Linked DNA regions of Saccharomyces cerevisiae S288C. The protein of the gene in region 1 binds, or shares a complex with, the protein of each later gene. Each region holds a gene or a part of one and is shown on either strand. Other genes may lie near its edges. The genes, in order: AME1, OKP1, NKP2 and CHL4. A codon is read from its position in the direction of its gene.

What was found.
Region 2: the proteins of AME1 (region 1) and OKP1 are in contact, whole or in part, in a crystal structure (PDB 8T0P), measured with the Saccharomyces cerevisiae proteins. Residues at the interface, in NP_009770.3 of Saccharomyces cerevisiae: Ser126 (codon at 1,869), Ile129 (codon at 1,860), Thr130 (codon at 1,857), Ser131 (codon at 1,854), Thr133 (codon at 1,848), Thr134 (codon at 1,845), Ile135 (codon at 1,842), Asp136 (codon at 1,839), Val137 (codon at 1,836), Leu138 (codon at 1,833), Ser140 (codon at 1,827), Leu141 (codon at 1,824), Phe142 (codon at 1,821), Asn144 (codon at 1,815), Leu145 (codon at 1,812), Asn148 (codon at 1,803), Asp149 (codon at 1,800), Leu150 (codon at 1,797), Gln165 (codon at 1,752), Phe166 (codon at 1,749), Leu169 (codon at 1,740), Leu170 (codon at 1,737), Lys172 (codon at 1,731), Leu173 (codon at 1,728), Asp174 (codon at 1,725), Arg176 (codon at 1,719), Leu177 (codon at 1,716), Phe178 (codon at 1,713), Thr180 (codon at 1,707), Ile181 (codon at 1,704); in NP_011695.1 of Saccharomyces cerevisiae: Pro127 (codon at 3,143), Trp128 (codon at 3,146), Phe130 (codon at 3,152), Val133 (codon at 3,161), Ile134 (codon at 3,164), Glu137 (codon at 3,173), Tyr138 (codon at 3,176), Arg141 (codon at 3,185), Leu142 (codon at 3,188), Glu147 (codon at 3,203), Ile162 (codon at 3,248), Leu165 (codon at 3,257), Leu166 (codon at 3,260), Asn169 (codon at 3,269), Thr170 (codon at 3,272), Ser172 (codon at 3,278), Ala173 (codon at 3,281), Leu174 (codon at 3,284), Ser176 (codon at 3,290), Val177 (codon at 3,293), Phe178 (codon at 3,296), Tyr181 (codon at 3,305), Glu184 (codon at 3,314), Met185 (codon at 3,317), Met188 (codon at 3,326), Glu195 (codon at 3,347), Ile199 (codon at 3,359), Lys203 (codon at 3,371), Leu206 (codon at 3,380), Leu207 (codon at 3,383).
Region 3: the proteins of AME1 (region 1) and NKP2 are in contact, whole or in part, in a cryo-EM structure (PDB 6NUW), measured with the Saccharomyces cerevisiae proteins. Residues at the interface, in NP_009770.3 of Saccharomyces cerevisiae: Lys172 (codon at 1,731), Arg176 (codon at 1,719), Gln179 (codon at 1,710), Asp183 (codon at 1,698), Thr186 (codon at 1,689), Arg187 (codon at 1,686), Ile195 (codon at 1,662), Ser198 (codon at 1,653), Glu201 (codon at 1,644), Leu202 (codon at 1,641), Gln205 (codon at 1,632), Leu206 (codon at 1,629), His294 (codon at 1,365), Tyr302 (codon at 1,341), Leu305 (codon at 1,332), Ile312 (codon at 1,311), Asn315 (codon at 1,302), Glu319 (codon at 1,290); in NP_013419.1 of Saccharomyces cerevisiae: Ile20 (codon at 1,659), Gln27 (codon at 1,638), Gln28 (codon at 1,635), Glu36 (codon at 1,611), Tyr43 (codon at 1,590), Arg52 (codon at 1,563), Val53 (codon at 1,560), Glu56 (codon at 1,551), Arg60 (codon at 1,539), Thr116 (codon at 1,371), Ala120 (codon at 1,359), Glu123 (codon at 1,350), Asn124 (codon at 1,347), Arg127 (codon at 1,338), Ser128 (codon at 1,335), Leu139 (codon at 1,302), Tyr146 (codon at 1,281), Leu150 (codon at 1,269), Asn153 (codon at 1,260).
Region 4: the proteins of AME1 (region 1) and CHL4 are in contact, whole or in part, in a cryo-EM structure (PDB 6NUW), measured with the Saccharomyces cerevisiae proteins. Residues at the interface, in NP_009770.3 of Saccharomyces cerevisiae: Glu214 (codon at 1,605), Asn217 (codon at 1,596), Ile221 (codon at 1,584), Arg224 (codon at 1,575), Asn225 (codon at 1,572), Gln228 (codon at 1,563), Lys231 (codon at 1,554), Ala232 (codon at 1,551), Asp235 (codon at 1,542), Trp236 (codon at 1,539); in NP_010540.3 of Saccharomyces cerevisiae: Arg113 (codon at 1,948), Gly114 (codon at 1,945), Asp115 (codon at 1,942), Gln133 (codon at 1,888), Ala137 (codon at 1,876), Lys138 (codon at 1,873), Ile219 (codon at 1,630), Tyr220 (codon at 1,627), Arg222 (codon at 1,621), Leu223 (codon at 1,618), Gln226 (codon at 1,609), Ser229 (codon at 1,600), Arg230 (codon at 1,597), Ile238 (codon at 1,573), Ile239 (codon at 1,570), Phe240 (codon at 1,567).

Annotation. Positions count from the first base shown.
Region 1 is NC_001134.8:644,889-649,307, forward strand, and holds AME1 (Ame1p), read right to left. Parts: upstream 2,245-4,419; coding exon 1,270-2,244; downstream 1-1,269. Other genes in the region: ERV15 (Erv15p), read left to right, coding at 662-1,090; NGR1 (Ngr1p), read left to right, coding at 2,998-4,419.
Region 2 is NC_001139.9:853,175-857,659, reverse strand, and holds OKP1 (Okp1p), read left to right. Parts: upstream 1-2,764; coding exon 2,765-3,985; downstream 3,986-4,485. Other genes in the region: ribonucleotide-diphosphate reductase subunit RNR4, read left to right, coding at 1,359-2,396; PBP1 (Pbp1p), read left to right, coding at 4,445-4,485. UniProt on the Saccharomyces cerevisiae protein: Component of the kinetochore, a multiprotein complex that assembles on centromeric DNA and attaches chromosomes to spindle microtubules, mediating chromosome segregation and sister chromatid segregation during meiosis and mitosis.
Region 3 is NC_001144.5:762,637-766,523, reverse strand, and holds NKP2 (Nkp2p), read right to left. Parts: upstream 1,717-3,887; coding exon 1,255-1,716; downstream 1-1,254. Other genes in the region: TAD3 (Tad3p), read left to right, coding at 166-274, 343-394, 451-1,258; septin CDC3, read left to right, coding at 2,387-3,887. UniProt on the Saccharomyces cerevisiae protein: Component of the kinetochore, a multiprotein complex that assembles on centromeric DNA and attaches chromosomes to spindle microtubules, mediating chromosome segregation and sister chromatid segregation during meiosis and mitosis.
Region 4 is NC_001136.10:962,591-967,396, reverse strand, and holds CHL4 (Chl4p), read right to left. Parts: upstream 2,285-4,806; coding exon 908-2,284; downstream 1-907. Other genes in the region: ubiquitin-protein ligase RMD5, read left to right, coding at 1-840; MET32 (Met32p), read left to right, coding at 2,832-3,407; CCR4-NOT core subunit BTT1, read right to left, coding at 3,536-3,985; PAM1 (Pam1p), read right to left, coding at 4,291-4,806. UniProt on the Saccharomyces cerevisiae protein: Component of the kinetochore, a multiprotein complex that assembles on centromeric DNA and attaches chromosomes to spindle microtubules, mediating chromosome segregation and sister chromatid segregation during meiosis and mitosis.

The DNA.
Region 1 (4,419 bases):
AGCTGAGTTGACATCACCTGATGATGTGAAATAGTAGCAAGAGAACTAGGGTAAGGTTCATGCTGGTTGTTTTCCTATGATGACCAACCTTTGGAATTGGGTAATTCTAGGTGTAGCCTGCTAGCCATCAAACGAGACCTTTCAAAATCTTCAGTCATTACATTTTCTTCTGTAAATAGGGAAAAAAGCCTTTAGCTAGGATTGTTCGGCAATAGAAAGCCCTCCAGTTTAAACTTGACATAGAAAATCTTTAAGGTTAAATCAAACATAAGTTATTATCCGATATAGTGTAACGGCTATCACATCACGCTTTCACCGTGGAGACCGGGGTTCGACTCCCCGTATCGGAGTTATTTTTTGTTTCTATACCATTATTTTTCTTGAATGTTGCATTATGATAGTATAGTTTTGCTATACAAACTTCAATTCTCAAAACACAGTACGTCTAGCTCACTACTACTCTCTCTAATTCAAAATCGTTCACTTCTATCGAAAGCTGTGATAATTTGGAAATATTGTCGTGGGCCACGAATGATTTTTCAATTACATTGCTAAATACGAAGACATTAATACCTTTATTCATATAAGCACTTTCATTATCATTTTTTACTAAAGATAAAACTAACTGCAGGCACCAAGAAGTTCGAAGCCAAGAGTAAAGATGTCAGGAACCGGATTATCGCTATTCGTGACGGGTCTTATACTGAATTGTTTGAATTCCATTTGCCAGATATACTTTACTATATTATATGGTGATCTTGAAGCAGACTATATCAACTCAATCGAACTGTGTAAGAGGGTGAATAGGTTGAGTGTACCAGAGGCAATTCTACAAGCTTTCATTTCTGCATTGTTTCTTTTTAACGGGTACTGGTTCGTATTTCTCTTGAATGTCCCTGTTCTAGCATATAACGCAAGTAAAGTCTACAAGAAAACACATCTACTGGACGCCACGGATATTTTCAGAAAATTGGGTAGATGCAAAATTGAATGCTTTTTAAAATTGGGATTTTACCTTCTCATATTCTTTTTCTACTTCTACAGAATGGTCACAGCGTTACTTGAAAATGATGCAAATTTGATAAGCTAATAGCGACAACAGGAAAAAAAAAGAGAGATTTGTGCATATCTATGAAGTATGTCTACCACATAAAAATGACCTTATAACACAACTTCCTTAGTATGGAAGTAATACATATATACATATATACATATATACATACATATATATATATATATATATATATATACATCTTTTGAACCAATTCCCTATAGACTTGGTTGTAATTCGTTAGAAAGATTTTCATTAATTTTATTTATCTTTTTCAGAAGTCCGTTATATGGATCCATCAAGTCTACGAAATGTGCAATATCCAGAATATTTGAGTCATCCCGTATTGAATCGTCCTCGCTATCTTGGCTCATAATTTTGCGATCTCCCTCGTATTTGCCTAGCAAAGTAGAAGTCAAATCATTTAGCCTCTTATTTAGCTTCACTTTGTCGTTCAGTTTGGCTTGTTCATTTTGTAAGTCATGCCAGTCTTTACCGGCTTTCAACTCTTGAATTTCATTTCGTACCGATATTATCTGCTGGTTCAAATCTTCTTTTCGAGCAAGTACCTGCTTCAGTTGGTAGCAGAGCTCATTATTCGACACGTTGATATCTAATATGTCTTTCAAGTCTCTGGTCATTTGGTCTGATATCGTTTGAAAGAGTCGCAGATCTAATTTGTACAATAGTTTCCTAAATTGATCATCATCACTTTTATTGAAATCCTTCAAAGCTTGCGGAATCAAATCATTTTCAAATAAGTTTATGAATAAAGAAGATAAAACATCAATTGTGGTCACAGAAGTGATAGACGATGATAGCTGTCTAATGGGTATATCATCGAAATTGTAACGAGTAGTAAGGTCTTCATCATTTCTAACATTTTGCGGCGATTCGCTTATAAGACTTTTATTTTCAGAGTCGATCATGGGATAGTCTTCTGCATCCAAGGGCTGATACCCATGTTCATGACGGTCCTGCGCATTTACGTTATTAGTGGTAATAGGAAACTCGAAAGAATTCGCAAGTTTTGGTGAAGACAAAATGGGTTGAACAGGAGATTGAATAGGTGAGTTCTCCTCTCTATAAACAGCATTTGGCGTCTTAAATACAATAACATCATCATCTATATCGTCTGTCCTTCTTGAATGACTGCCCCTCAGCCTAAAAGCTAATTTAGTGTCTCTATCCATACTGAGGTTTTTCTTTAAATGAACACGCAAATAGTCAAGACAATACAGAGCAACACAGGACACGTAAAAAAATGAGAGCAATCGCTTCTTATACTGCAACGATGTTGACCCTTGCCATAATAGCTAATGAAATCAATCATTATCATTTCTACTAGTCCTTTAACAATATTTGGATACACCATTAAATTTCTCCGTACAACACGATAAAATATTTTCTACCAGCTTCAAACGGCTGTGAAGGGGCGATAGTGCCGTTCCAAAAAGCGTTCCCCAAACTTGTATTCAAGACCAAATCTTAGTCAAGCAAGCAGTTTCGCACCTTCATACACTCCATTAAAAGTGAAAATAAGCATATTTGTAATTAAATCTGGTTATCATACCCTGTTCCCTTTAGAACCAATATACATAGACGCAGTCGACAAAGAAGCAATAAAAGAGATTACCATTCTTATTCACTATTTTTTTTTTTCTCTGACTCTTCATAGTTGTACGGAAAACCATCTGCGTGTTATATCCTAGTTCCAAATATTCTGATTTCTCGTGATCGAATCTGTTATATTGTCATATATTGTAATTCCATTTTTTTCCCGGTTCATTTTTTGATATTCTCTTCCTGTTCCAATATTAATAAAGGAGGCTTTTTTCTTTCCCTTTCGTTCTGATTTATATTGTTTTTACTATTATTGGATCTTTTAAATATTACAGCTTTTTCATATCCTTCGCCATCGATTTTTGCCTGAAAAATTTACACAAATGATGTCTAACGTTGCTAACGCCTCCCAAAGACAGGAAAATCCATATATTATTCCATTGCCTCCTTCATCCACAGTGGAAACTTCTACTGAACCCCCAAGAACGTTATGGATGGGAGATTTGGATCCGTCCTTCGACGAGGCCACGATTGAGGAGATATGGTCAAAACTGGATAAAAAAGTTATCGTTAAACTAATTAGAGCCAAAAAAAATTTGTTGATTCCTTGTAGCTCCACCTCAAGTAGTAATAACAACACAAGTGAGGAGAATGCTGAAAACCAGCAATCTGCATCAAACAGCACTGATCAGTTAGATAATTCCCAAATGATTAATATTAATGGAATATCCTTCATTGATCCTTCCACTACTCAATTACATCATGCCGGATACTGTTTTGTCGAATTTGAAACTCAAAAGGACGCTAAATTTGCCCTGTCATTAAATGCTACACCTTTACCTAATTTTTATTCCCCAACAACTAACTCCCAAACTAATCCAACGTTCAAAAGGACTTTCAGATTGAATTGGGCGTCTGGAGCTACTTTACAAAGTTCTATACCATCTACCCCAGAATTTTCCTTGTTTGTTGGTGATCTTTCTCCCACCGCCACTGAAGCTGATTTGTTATCTCTTTTCCAAACGAGGTTCAAATCTGTTAAAACCGTCCGCGTGATGACTGACCCTTTAACAGGATCATCTCGTTGTTTTGGATTTGTCAGATTCGGTGATGAAGATGAGCGCCGCAGGGCACTGATTGAGATGAGTGGGAAATGGTTTCAAGGAAGGGCCTTAAGAGTCGCTTATGCCACGCCAAGAAATAATATGATGCTGCAGTTACAGGAACAACAACAACAGCAACAACAATTGCAGCAACAGCATCAGCAGCTAGATCAGGAGGATAATAATGGCCCTCTCTTGATTAAGACTGCAAATAATCTCATTCAAAACAATAGCAACATGCTTCCTCTCAATGCCTTGCATAACGCGCCTCCAATGCATTTGAATGAGGGCGGCATTTCAAACATGCGTGTAAATGATTCACTACCTTCAAACACCTATAATACAGACCCCACTAATACTACTGTTTTTGTGGGAGGACTGGTACCAAAAACTACCGAATTTCAATTACGTTCACTATTCAAACCCTTTGGACCCATTCTAAATGTCAGGATTCCCAATGGTAAAAACTGTGGGTTTGTTAAATTCGAGAAGAGGATTGATGCTGAAGCTTCAATACAAGGCCTGCAAGGCTTTATTGTGGGCGGCAGTCCAATAAGATTATCATGGGGACGCCCATCCAGTTCAAATGCTAAAACAAATTCGACCATCATGGGGGCAAGCCAATATATGTCCTCAAATGGCCTGAGAGCGCCATCTGCGGCTTCTTCAGTCGATAACTCCAAACAAATTCTTGAACAATAT
Region 2 (4,485 bases), on another chromosome or scaffold:
CGGTTACAACGTCACGTCTTTTTCTGTTTAACCCTTTTGTACTAACAAGGAATAAATTATATTCAATGAATTATGAACAGTCAAATGCGTATATATTGGCGCTCCACCTTTATTGTATATCAGATGAGGTAACATTACTTGTACCGCGCTCGCTTTCAACAAATAAGTGGTTGTTTGGCCGAGCGGTCTAAGGCGCCTGATTCAAGAAATATCTTGACCGCAGTTAACTGTGGGAATACTCAGGTATCGTAAGATGCAAGAGTTCGAATCTCTTAGCAACCAATAATTTTTTTTTCAATAATTAAGTACCAATTTCCTGCTAATGGGCAGGCCCACCTTTATTTCTTTTTTTTTCCATTAGAACGAGCATTTCAGGCAAGAAAGGGAACCGGCGAAGACGGGAAAGTGTACTTTTCACGAAACAAAGAAAATGAAGTACGCGTCTAGACTATTCCCATAATGTTTACGTTTCACAGAAATTGAGGAATCTGGAGATAAGGCAACGAGGACCACCTGAGTGTCGCCACTAGTACCTTGCTATACGAATATCCTGTGTGTGAGTGTTTACGCGTCTATGTGATTTCGCTTCCAGAGTGGTTGCCATGGCAAACTATTCAACCCGCTCTTTTTCTATCCAAAACCAACAACAGAACATGAGCAAGCCCCACTCCACTGAATATCTGGAGCGCCTCCACCGCTTGTGTGGTCTGCCCCCTTCTGCGAGGTCGCCTCTGAGCTTAATAAGCACCGTGCGCCTACCTTCGTTTCCCTTTTTGAGGGTACCCGCCCATACACCGCACCAATGGAACTAGCAGGTACGACCACCCAACACCAAGCACCGGAAACCGGACAGTGCAAGTTCTAGCACACTGAAAGCGGCGCACGAGAACGCGCTTTTCAGCGTGCGAGAACCACGTTTTGGCAGTTATTGTTCACCACAGCGTCTCTTGCCTTCCCGATGGGCGTTGTTGTGGCAACACCATCCTCTTTGCTTACTGTAATCGGTAGACGACGTCCGTTCCTTCCTTGGTCTCATGAAGCTCTGGCGTATAAAAACGGCGATTGAATCTTCAATGTTCCTAAAGTTTCATTCCTTATCTCTCATTTTCTTCATTTTTTGTCTCTTGGCTTTTCGATCAAAAAAAGACTATCAATAGATACATTGGTTTCTGACCCCACCTCTGTCCCCTTACACTATCAAATTTCACTTTTTTACTTTTTTTTTTTTTGCAAAAGGCCTTGTCTCGAAACAGAAAGAAAAAAAATTCATTTAAAAAGGGAAATAAAAAATTGCTAATACAAAAACAGATCTTTTTGAGCCACACAACCCCGCGCAACGCACACAATTAGTTATTACAATGGAAGCACATAACCAATTTTTGAAGACTTTCCAAAAAGAACGTCATGATATGAAAGAAGCTGAAAAGGATGAAATCCTTTTGATGGAAAACAGCCGTAGATTCGTGATGTTCCCTATCAAATACCACGAAATCTGGGCTGCTTACAAGAAGGTTGAAGCCTCTTTCTGGACTGCGGAAGAAATCGAATTGGCTAAGGACACTGAAGATTTCCAAAAATTGACTGATGACCAGAAGACCTACATCGGTAACTTGTTAGCCTTGTCCATTTCTTCTGACAACCTTGTCAACAAGTACTTGATCGAAAACTTTTCTGCCCAATTGCAAAACCCTGAAGGTAAGAGTTTCTACGGGTTCCAGATTATGATGGAAAACATCTACTCTGAAGTTTACTCCATGATGGTTGATGCCTTCTTCAAGGACCCTAAGAACATCCCTCTATTCAAGGAAATTGCCAATTTGCCTGAAGTCAAGCATAAGGCTGCTTTCATCGAGAGATGGATTTCCAACGATGACAGCTTGTATGCTGAAAGACTAGTAGCATTTGCTGCAAAGGAAGGTATTTTCCAAGCTGGTAACTATGCTTCTATGTTCTGGTTGACTGACAAAAAGATTATGCCAGGTTTAGCAATGGCCAACAGAAACATCTGTAGAGACAGAGGTGCCTACACTGACTTTTCATGCTTGCTATTTGCCCATTTGAGAACCAAGCCAAACCCCAAGATCATTGAAAAAATCATTACCGAAGCCGTGGAAATTGAAAAGGAATACTACTCAAACTCTTTGCCAGTAGAAAAATTTGGTATGGATTTGAAGAGCATTCACACCTACATAGAATTTGTCGCTGACGGTCTATTACAAGGTTTCGGTAACGAAAAATACTACAACGCCGTCAACCCATTCGAATTCATGGAGGATGTCGCTACCGCTGGTAAGACCACCTTCTTTGAAAAGAAGGTTTCCGACTACCAAAAGGCCAGTGACATGTCTAAGTCCGCTACCCCATCCAAGGAAATTAACTTTGATGATGACTTCTAAGTCAACGACGGGGTGCGTTCTTTTATTCTTGGCCACTTTTATTTATATATATTTATATATACCTAGGTACAGTATAACTAAACTTAAGTAGAAAAATTTAAAAAGAAACTACAGTTTTTTTTTATATTTATTATGACAATATTTGCCATTTTCTTGTAGGTAGATAAGGGAAAGATTCAGAGAGTACCATCATCCCGGTCATTTCATTTAAATAACATATTTTTGTTACCCGGAGAGTCACAATACGGTCCACCCATTTGTTTACTACCTCGAAGTTAATACAGATAGAGGTACATAGCAACAATGGATGAGGTAACTTGCACCCTATGGACGAATAATTCAAGCGATACTAGTGCTACGTATACTGTATGGCAGCTGATAGAGATAATTTTTTACAAAATATTGAAAATGATTCAATTAACAATGGCCAGGCCATGGATCTGTCACCCAACCGAAGTTCCTCTGAAAGCGATAGCAGCATTCTCATGAATGTGAATGATATTAAAACTTTACGTCTGGACGTAGCACCAGAAGCTAAAAGCACCCAATCAAAGAAGTCGCTTTTTTATGAGAACTCTGATGATGCTGAAGAAGGAGAAATAGAAGAGCGCACGAACAAAGAAGAAGGACAATACCATCATAAAGGATCTAAACAACTTCGATTTGAGGTTGGCAAGGAAAGTACAGGTAAATTGCAATCTCATCTATCGGATGGAAGCGCAACAAGTGGAGAGGGCAATGTACGACCTTGGGAATTCAGGAAGGTAATACAAGCTGAGTATAGAGAAAGGTTGCCGCGCAATTATGAATTAAAGCATTGGAAAAAGCCTTCTAAAATAATGATAGGATCCATACTTCGTTTATTAGAGACTAACACTGTAAGCGCTCTTGATTCTGTCTTTGAGAAGTACGAAAAGGAAATGAACCAAATGACGCATGGCGATAATAATGAGGTTAAAAGAATATATTCTAAGAAGGAACGTTTGCTTGAAATAATCCTCACAAAGATAAAGAAGAAGCTAAGACAGGCCAAATTTCCCTCTAGGATATCGGAAAGAGATCTAGACATCGAGTATATTTATTCTAAGCGACAATTTATTCAAAACCGGTATTCACAAGAACTACAAAATAATGAGAGATTGGAAGCAATTCTTTCACGTGAACAAAACCTTTTGGAGGAAACTAGGAAGTTGTGCATGAATTTAAAAACAAACAACAAGAAACGACTCACTGAGAAGCTAATACAAAAAGATCTGCATCCAGTACTTAACAAAGCAATGGAATATACATATGGCTTAGAATCTACTAATGGATTTATGCATCCTGATGGCCCAGTAACTTTTAGAAATGATAGCCACGAATTGAACCTGATGTTGAACGACCCCATAAAAAGTACAGCCGATGTGAGGCTTGATAAGGAGGAAGTACTGTCGTTGTTACCTTCTTTGAAAGAATATACGAAGAAATCAAAGGAACTTAAGGAAACAATGGGTCAAATGATTTCGGATTCACATGAAGAAGAAATCAAAGAGGTTTTTGTACCGCACCATGAGTCGCACCAAGATAAGACCGAAGAAGATATACACTAGCGATAATCCATTGTTTCAGAGTTTACGATTACGATGCATATAACTAAATATTTGATATATAATCATGCACTATTAGCATCCGGGTTACGTAACTTCTCCGCCAACGAGCCTCAGAAAACCTTGGAGAGCCACAACAAATTATGAAAAACTGGAAAAAAAAAAAAATAAAGAAGGAAGGAAAGCTCAATTGGGAGGCACTTTCTTTACTTGAGATTTGCGTTTTTGTAAAGCAGTTCTTAAATCGGCATCTCTCATCGCATAGATCTTTAAGGAAGATATAGGTCATTCACTCGCGTTTTCTTCTATCTTTCTTTTTGTTCTTTCCAGAAGACGTTTCGATTATTTCCGAATTGATCTTGAAGGGGAAGCAATAATTAAATCTTTGAAAATTGATTTGATATAAAAACTGACATCCTCAGTCACGGAAGTAATTAAAGGAGTTCATTACATTGAAACAATATGAAGGGAAACTTTAGGAAAAGAGATAGCTCCACCAACTC
Region 3 (3,887 bases), on another chromosome or scaffold:
TTTTTTTTTTTTTTTTTTTTAATTTTTCACTTTTCTATTTCACTTGTGTCATTCATTGCCATGCTTTACTTTTTTTCATTCCTAAATGCGAATCACCAATAGCTCATCTAAAGGTATATATTATTCAAACCTCAGAAGGATAATATTCATGAGGGCGTGTTAGTTATGGTTAAGAAAGTTAATAATCCGCTAAAAATCGATTATCAGAACGGGATAATAGAAAATCGGCTTCTGCAAATTAGAAATTTCAAAGATGTAAATACGCCCAAACTAAGTATGTATCTATGAGATCTAACAGAAATCAGGATCAATTAACTAACTTTCAAACATATATAAGTGCAGTCAATGTATGGAGTATAAGAATAGATCCAAGAGACTCGAAGAAAGTAATAGAGTATGTATATGATTTTTGCTTTTGTATTCATGGAAGTAAACTAACTAGTAAAGTAGGCTAATTCGAAACGATTTTCAGAAAAATGACCCTGTTTCATTGAGACATTTGAAAAGGATCCGCAAGGACATCGAGACCTCCACCTTGGAAGTGGTGTTGTGTTCGAAAGAGTATATTTGCGACGAAGGTGAAATAAACAATAAATTGAAGAGTATTTGGGTTGGAACGAAAAAGTATGAACTGAGTGATGATATCGAAGTGCCTGAGTTTGCGCCCAGCACAAAGGAACTGAACAATGCCTGGTCTGTGAAGTACTGGCCGTTGATTTGGAACGGCAACCCCAATGATCAAATATTGAACGACTATAAAATAGACATGCAGGAAGTACGAAATGAGCTATCGCGTGCGTCGACGTTGTCTGTGAAGATGGCAACGGCAGGAAAACAGTTTCCAATGGTGAGCGTCTTTGTTGACCCATCAAGAAAGAAGGACAAAGTGGTGGCAGAAGATGGCAGAAACTGCGAAAACTCGCTACCCATCGACCACAGTGTAATGGTGGGCATCCGTGCGGTAGGCGAAAGACTCAGGGAGGGTGTAGACGAAGACGCAAACTCTTATCTGTGTCTTGATTACGACGTCTATTTGACCCATGAGCCGTGCTCAATGTGCTCCATGGCCCTGATCCATTCTCGTGTGAGACGAGTGGTCTTCCTTACAGAGATGCAGCGCACCGGGAGCTTAAAATTAACGAGTGGTGACGGGTACTGCATGAACGATAACAAACAGCTAAACTCAACATACGAAGCCTTTCAATGGATCGGCGAGGAATATCCTGTGGGGCAGGTTGACCGGGATGTCTGCTGCTAGTTTTCCTCTAATAGATTAATATAAGATTGTATAATTTGTAATAGGCCAGGAATGGCATTGTCTCCTGCACTCGGTGAGCGAACCATATTTTCAAATTCTGCTAGTTCCGAGGTCTTTTCCTGAATAGCATCATCCAGAATCTGCAAACGCTGTTGCAACAGGTCATTAATCTTGTACAGCGCGTCGATCAGTGTCTCGAGGCTAAGGGAGTGTGATAGTTGCTCGCTTTCCAGAAATCGCAGTAATCTAGAGCGCAACGTTATGAAAAACTGCTTGATTCGTGCTTCTAACTCAGAGGTCACTCGCGCATCCCTGGCCTGAAGCAATTCGTACCAATGTTGCAGTTGTTGCTCGTCGCTCGTGTACGACTGTAGTTGCTGCTTGAACTCTTGAAAACTTATCAGAGTAGTGAGTAGCGAATCCGAAACATAGTTATGCAGCAGCTGTTCAGAGTTCATTTATAATGGTAATTTCAAAGCAAGATTGGGAGCACAATTGTCAAATCTATGATTATTTTGTTGCGTTATACCCAGCTTTTGGGCTTTTTCGAGAACGATCTTCGTTGTTTTTCGCTGTTTCTCCGCGAAGCGGGCAGCGGCGACGGTAATATTGGCTGTTAATCTATTGTTATCTTGTAGTTGTACAAGATCATTCCTTTAATTCTATATATTAACTGTTCGTGGCGTAACAAGAAATCGATTCTGACATCAAATGGAAGACATCAGCAGTTACACTAGTGGTGCAGGAAAGGCACCGCAAGGGAGTGCAAGAAGCTGTGAGAAACAACTTTATATAACTTGCTGCTTGATAATTGTGACAGAATATTCTCGCACCTTGCAAACATATATAGCAGCACCTCTAGATTTCTCCTTCCTTCCTTTCGTAAAAAGGAACCACCTGGGCGGCTAATTTAGTATTTTCGTCTTTTATGATCTACGTGTGTAATGATATGGTGGGGGCGTGTTTTCGCTTCCCATTTTTTGCCATTTTTTGTCTCGGTTTTAGGAATTGCGTTTTGTGTTGTTTTGTGTATTAAGTTAAAATCTCTCGAGGAAAGCAGATCAAGAAAATATCAAATCCAGGATCACACGACAACTGAACGATTACATCGGCCTATAATACGTTGCCATGAGTTTAAAGGAGGAACAAGTGTCCATTAAGCAGGACCCGGAACAAGAAGAGCGTCAGCATGATCAATTCAATGATGTTCAGATCAAACAAGAGTCGCAGGATCATGATGGAGTGGACTCGCAGTACACGAACGGTACGCAAAATGACGACAGCGAGAGATTTGAGGCAGCTGAATCCGATGTAAAGGTGGAACCCGGCCTCGGTATGGGCATCACCTCCTCTCAGAGCGAAAAGGGTCAAGTTCTGCCTGACCAACCGGAGATTAAGTTCATTCGTCGTCAAATCAATGGTTATGTAGGGTTTGCTAATTTGCCCAAGCAATGGCACAGAAGGTCCATAAAGAACGGATTCAGTTTCAATCTCCTATGTGTCGGCCCTGATGGTATTGGTAAGACAACTTTAATGAAAACTTTATTTAATAATGATGATATTGAGGCCAATTTAGTGAAAGATTACGAGGAGGAACTTGCAAATGATCAGGAAGAAGAGGAGGGTCAGGGCGAGGGTCACGAGAACCAATCACAAGAACAAAGGCACAAGGTCAAAATTAAGTCATATGAGTCGGTTATTGAAGAAAATGGTGTTAAACTGAATTTGAACGTGATCGATACTGAAGGATTTGGTGATTTTTTAAATAATGATCAAAAATCATGGGACCCGATCATTAAGGAGATTGACTCTCGTTTTGATCAATACTTGGATGCGGAGAACAAAATCAACAGACATTCAATAAACGATAAAAGAATCCATGCATGTCTTTATTTCATTGAACCTACAGGACATTACTTAAAGCCCCTGGACCTGAAGTTTATGCAATCTGTATATGAAAAATGTAACTTGATTCCTGTCATTGCTAAATCTGACATCTTAACTGATGAAGAGATCTTAAGTTTCAAGAAGACCATTATGAACCAGTTAATCCAATCTAATATCGAGCTGTTCAAGCCTCCAATTTATTCCAACGATGATGCAGAAAATAGCCATTTATCCGAAAGACTATTTAGTAGTTTACCTTATGCTGTTATTGGTTCCAACGATATTGTAGAGAACTACAGTGGTAATCAAGTGAGAGGCCGTTCCTATCCATGGGGGGTGATCGAAGTGGACAATGACAACCACTCTGATTTCAACCTTTTGAAAAATTTATTGATCAAGCAATTCATGGAGGAATTAAAGGAAAGGACAAGCAAGATACTATACGAAAACTACAGGTCTTCTAAATTGGCAAAACTTGGTATTAAGCAAGATAATTCAGTTTTCAAAGAGTTCGATCCAATATCTAAACAACAAGAAGAAAAAACTTTACATGAGGCAAAACTAGCCAAACTAGAAATTGAAATGAAAACAGTTTTCCAACAAAAAGTTTCCGAAAAGGAGAAAAAACTACAAAAATCAGAAACTGAATTGTTTGCTAGACATAAAGAAATGAAGGAAAAATTAACTAAACAATTAAAAGCTTTGGAGGACAAGAAAAAACAGCTAGAACTTTCAATAAATA
Region 4 (4,806 bases), on another chromosome or scaffold:
ATTTTGAGGTATAGTATAGACAACATGCCATTAGGAAATAAAAATGAGGCTTTCCAGTATCTAAAAGATGTCTACGGAATTACTAATAAAGAATCTACTGAATTTATTGAGATGGGCCAAATCGTACATGATCTTAAAAAGGGTGACACAGAAAGCTGTCTGAAATGGTGCTCCAATGAAATGGAAAGCTTATCATCTAACCATACGGCTTTATCGTCCCTAAAATTTGATTTATACACTTTGTCAGCAATGCAGATAGTGAAGCATGGAAATCCGGTAGAGTTGTACTACCAAATAACACAGAACGCACCCCTGGATTGCTTTAGACATAGGGAGAAGGAATTAATGCAAAACGTCGTACCATTATTAACTAAATCGCTAATAGGTCAACCTATTGAAGATATTGATTCTAAAGTAAATAAGGAATTAAAAGAATGCACGTCGTTATTTATAAAAGAATATTGTGCTGCAAAACATATTTTCTTTGACTCTCCCTTGTTTTTGATAGTATTGAGTGGTTTAATTTCTTTCCAATTTTTCATCAAATACAAAACCATCAGGGAGTTAGCGCACGTTGACTGGACTACGAAAGATGAGTTGCCATTTGATGTCAAGTTACCAGATTTTCTGACTCATTTCCATCCGATCTTCATCTGTCCCGTCTTAAAGGAGGAAACCACTACAGAAAATCCTCCTTATTCACTGGCATGCCATCACATCATTTCTAAAAAGGCGCTAGACAGATTATCGAAGAACGGAACAATTACTTTCAAGTGCCCATACTGCCCCGTAAATACTTCAATGAGCAGTACAAAAAAGGTTCGTTTTGTTATGCTTTGACTGAAATTTTTGCATAGGTTTTTTTTTTTTTTTTTTATTGGAAGCGATAACAGAACACAGTAGTTTTCTACAGTAAACCACCTTTAGCAACCTGCTCTCGCTGAAAATCTCCATTCATTATCGTTCCTGAGAACGATCCATTTTCTCCAGCCAACCACCCAGGAACTTTATCAATATTTATTAAATTTTTATCGCATAGTTCGTGTAATCCCCCAAAAATATCATTACCATTAAATTTCAATTTTATGGTAATTATTCTACTGTTTATTTCGTTTTTTAAAGTGAATCCAACTTTTTCAATAGGAACTAAGGAACTGTATCTAGAAATGTACACTGGCTCACCAGAATCTTCATTTTTCTTTCCATTCCTAATATTGTGGACATGTTCGTTAAATTCTTTCAAATCATTATATTTCTGATCCATTACGCCGTTTGCTGAACCTTTGAATTTGATCATGTTTTTCTCTAACCTTAGTCGTCTAATTTCAGGTTCTTCTTTTCCGTAAAAATTCTCATCGTCATTTAAGAAAGAATCATCAAATTCTCTAACCATTACCTTTTTACCAGTAAGGCCTTGGTGCTTTTTGTAGTCGTGTAGTGGTGACCGTTCAAAGTTAGCACTAGCATAACATTCCCATGGGCCCATAGACTCCGCAAATCTCGAAGGTCCTAATAAAGTCATTATATTATGTATTGATTTCACGGGTATTTTCTGTACCGGTTTGAAGATGATTGTTTCTCTTTCTGATATCGTTCGACTAATGCTCTGCAAAACTAGTCTAGCATAAATATCCTTGTCAACTGAATGGAAAATTATTGGAGAATTTAGCGGGAATGCAACGTAATATGGTCTCCTTGATATTAATGGTTTCCCTTGGAATTTGTCTAACTTGTTGTAAAGAGACTCTTTATTTATACTCCCTATATTAGGCGTACTCAAAAATAAATTATTGCTGTCAAATAGCTGTATTCTGGTAATTAACACTGGCAAAGAGGGATGTTTAAACATGTAAACATGACAATGGTAAATTTTCGCTAGATCTGTTTGTAAATTTTCTATAAATTTGGCAGGTTGGAGCTTTACTACGTAAGGTTTCCCATCTCCCCGTAAAGCTTTTGATGGAAGCCACTTAAATTTCTCTGGTTTACTTATCATTAAATGGCAATCTATTTCTGCTAATTGGAAAACATTCAGGCCATCCGGCCAGTATACGTATAATATCCTATTTACTATAACATTTCGCCTCACGCCTTTCTCAATCAGTAAGTCTAATGTTTCTGTCAATAAATATATGTCACCATCAAATGACCCACCGAATTTTGCGAACCATGATAGCGTAAGATCATATAATACCGTTACCGGCAGCTTCATCAATTGTTTGAAAACTACTAGTGTGTCGGAAGTTGGTACATAGTTATCTTCAAGCCGTAATTCGTTAGACATTAATTGCTACTCAAATATACTAGTCAAAGATAGTATCCACCAAAATCTTTCCCCGCTAAAATAACGCCAGATGCTTTCTATGCTTCTAATCTTTTACCATTTACCTTTGTTTATTTCAATATAAACTTTAATTTACAGTCCCTATCTATTGCCCGACTGGACTAACATGCACGTGACATTTTGTGATGGTTTTTCGTCCCTTACTTAGTACGCTTAGTACGCCACAGTTTATATTTTCTTGACAATAATAAAGAACCTGATTGTGGGTTAGAACTTGCTATACTTTTAGTTTAAAATAAGCAGGAAATAATCTTGAGTTCTGTATCATTATTATAAATAAAACTATATTTGTTCTCTTTGTCGCCCTCGGAACTTTCCTCATTACATTGACGAGGTATATATAGATATAGTAGATATACATATCTATCCATGGTATATATGTATGCATCTGGATAATTGAATAGGGTTTCATGTCATATGCCAAGAATTTGTTAATAATATAGTGGAAAAAAGTCAAGAGGTATTATAAATTTCAAAAAAGTACCAAATGGAGGATCAGGATGCTGCATTTATCAAACAGGCTACAGAAGCAATAGTGGATGTATCATTAAATATAGATAACATAGATCCTATAATAAAAGAGTTATTAGAAAGGGTAAGGAATAGGCAAAACAGGTTACAAAATAAAAAACCAGCACTCATACCGGCAGAAAATGGTGTTGATATAAATAGTCAAGGCGGTAACATAAAGGTTAAAAAGGAAAACGCATTACCAAAACCACCGAAGTCCAGCAAAAGCAAACCCCAAGATCGTAGAAATAGTACTGGTGAAAAAAGATTTAAATGTGCGAAATGTTCGTTGGAATTTTCAAGATCATCAGATTTGAGAAGGCACGAAAAGACACACTTCGCCATATTGCCTAACATTTGTCCTCAATGTGGCAAAGGTTTTGCAAGGAAAGATGCATTGAAAAGACATTATGATACACTGACATGTAGGAGAAACAGGACTAAATTACTAACTGCGGGTGGTGAGGGTATCAATGAATTACTGAAAAAAGTCAAGCAATCCAACATCGTTCATCGTCAAGATAACAACCACAATGGTAGCAGTAATGGCTGAAAGAGTAAATAGCGTGTATCTTCTCAAATAAGAAAATATATATTCATCTGCAACATTAATGTGATAGCATTTCCACTTCGACATTCGCCACTAGCTATAACGTTTACTGGCAATTATTATGAACTATGTCAGCTATTCATCACTTGTTGTTTTGTCTCGCTGCATCTGTCGCCCAGCTGGTCGAGCACCGTCTGTTCATTTTCTAGGTTATGAGCCAAACCTGTCAAATACTCAAGTTCTTGGCTACCTAATTGAGAGGCTACGCTCGGATACAGCCCATTAAGTGTATTCTCTTTCGGTTGGCCATGAATCATTGTGAGATTGCATTGAGGGGCAATCTGTACAACTGCACTGTTAAAATGTAAAACCTTGCCATTCTTTTTGAAAAAATTTGCTTCGGCAACGTTTTCAATGGTCATTGGATGCAGTTTATGAAGTTCAGCTTGTAACTTGGTATTATCCTTGTCATTGTTATTATATAAATTACCTTTCTTGTTTATTTTCCTTCTGGTACCACCAACTTTGTTTGCTGCTGATAACTTGTGCAGCTTAGCTAATTTTTCTTGATCTACAGGCATTTGATGTTGTAGGATTATGTAGTAGTTTATTTAATTTAGCCGTATTTATTTCTATCAGGGAACCTTTTTAACGCAACTTAATTGTTTCTGTCACAGCGGGAAAAAAAGAAAAAAACAAAACAAAGCATTTAAAAGCATATGCCGTTTATTACATGATCTAAAGTTGTGTTGAAGCTACAAACTTCCTCGTTGGTCATTAACCAAATAGAAAGTGTTTTAGATAAAATGTATAAGTAGATAAAATATAACATATCATTAACAAAAACGGATTATTTGGATTGGAAAGACAAGGGCTCGCGTATTTGTTACTTTTTCCTTTTTCCAAAGAAACTGAACTTTTTCTTCTTTTTTTCCTTAACGTCCTCTTTGCGGCTTTCATCTCCCATTGTACTTATATTATTGGCTGTTGCCGCAGCTGAAACTGTATCTTCAGAAGGTGTCCCTAGTTTTATTACAGCAGCAGGGTTATCACTCGTAGCAAAGTTGGTCTGAATTGGTGATGGTTGCGTAATATTGATCTGAGGAACTTTTGAGGTACCGTTTTGAGATAGAGACTGTAATTGGGGCGGAGAGTCACTGTTCAATTGATTAACGCACGGAGCAGAATCCGCATTTCTACTGTTTTGTACTGTGTTTCTATTCTCCAAATTGCTTAGATTTGGACTTGAAATAGAGTTAACAAAACCCGATTGCTGATTTGAAATATTGTAATTTGCAGATGGTATGCGATTTGTCCTCATGCTACCACCGTTATTTTGAAACGATTTTTGCTGTGTTATCGGTGGACCCTGTTGAGATCTAAACGTACTTTGGTTTGAAAG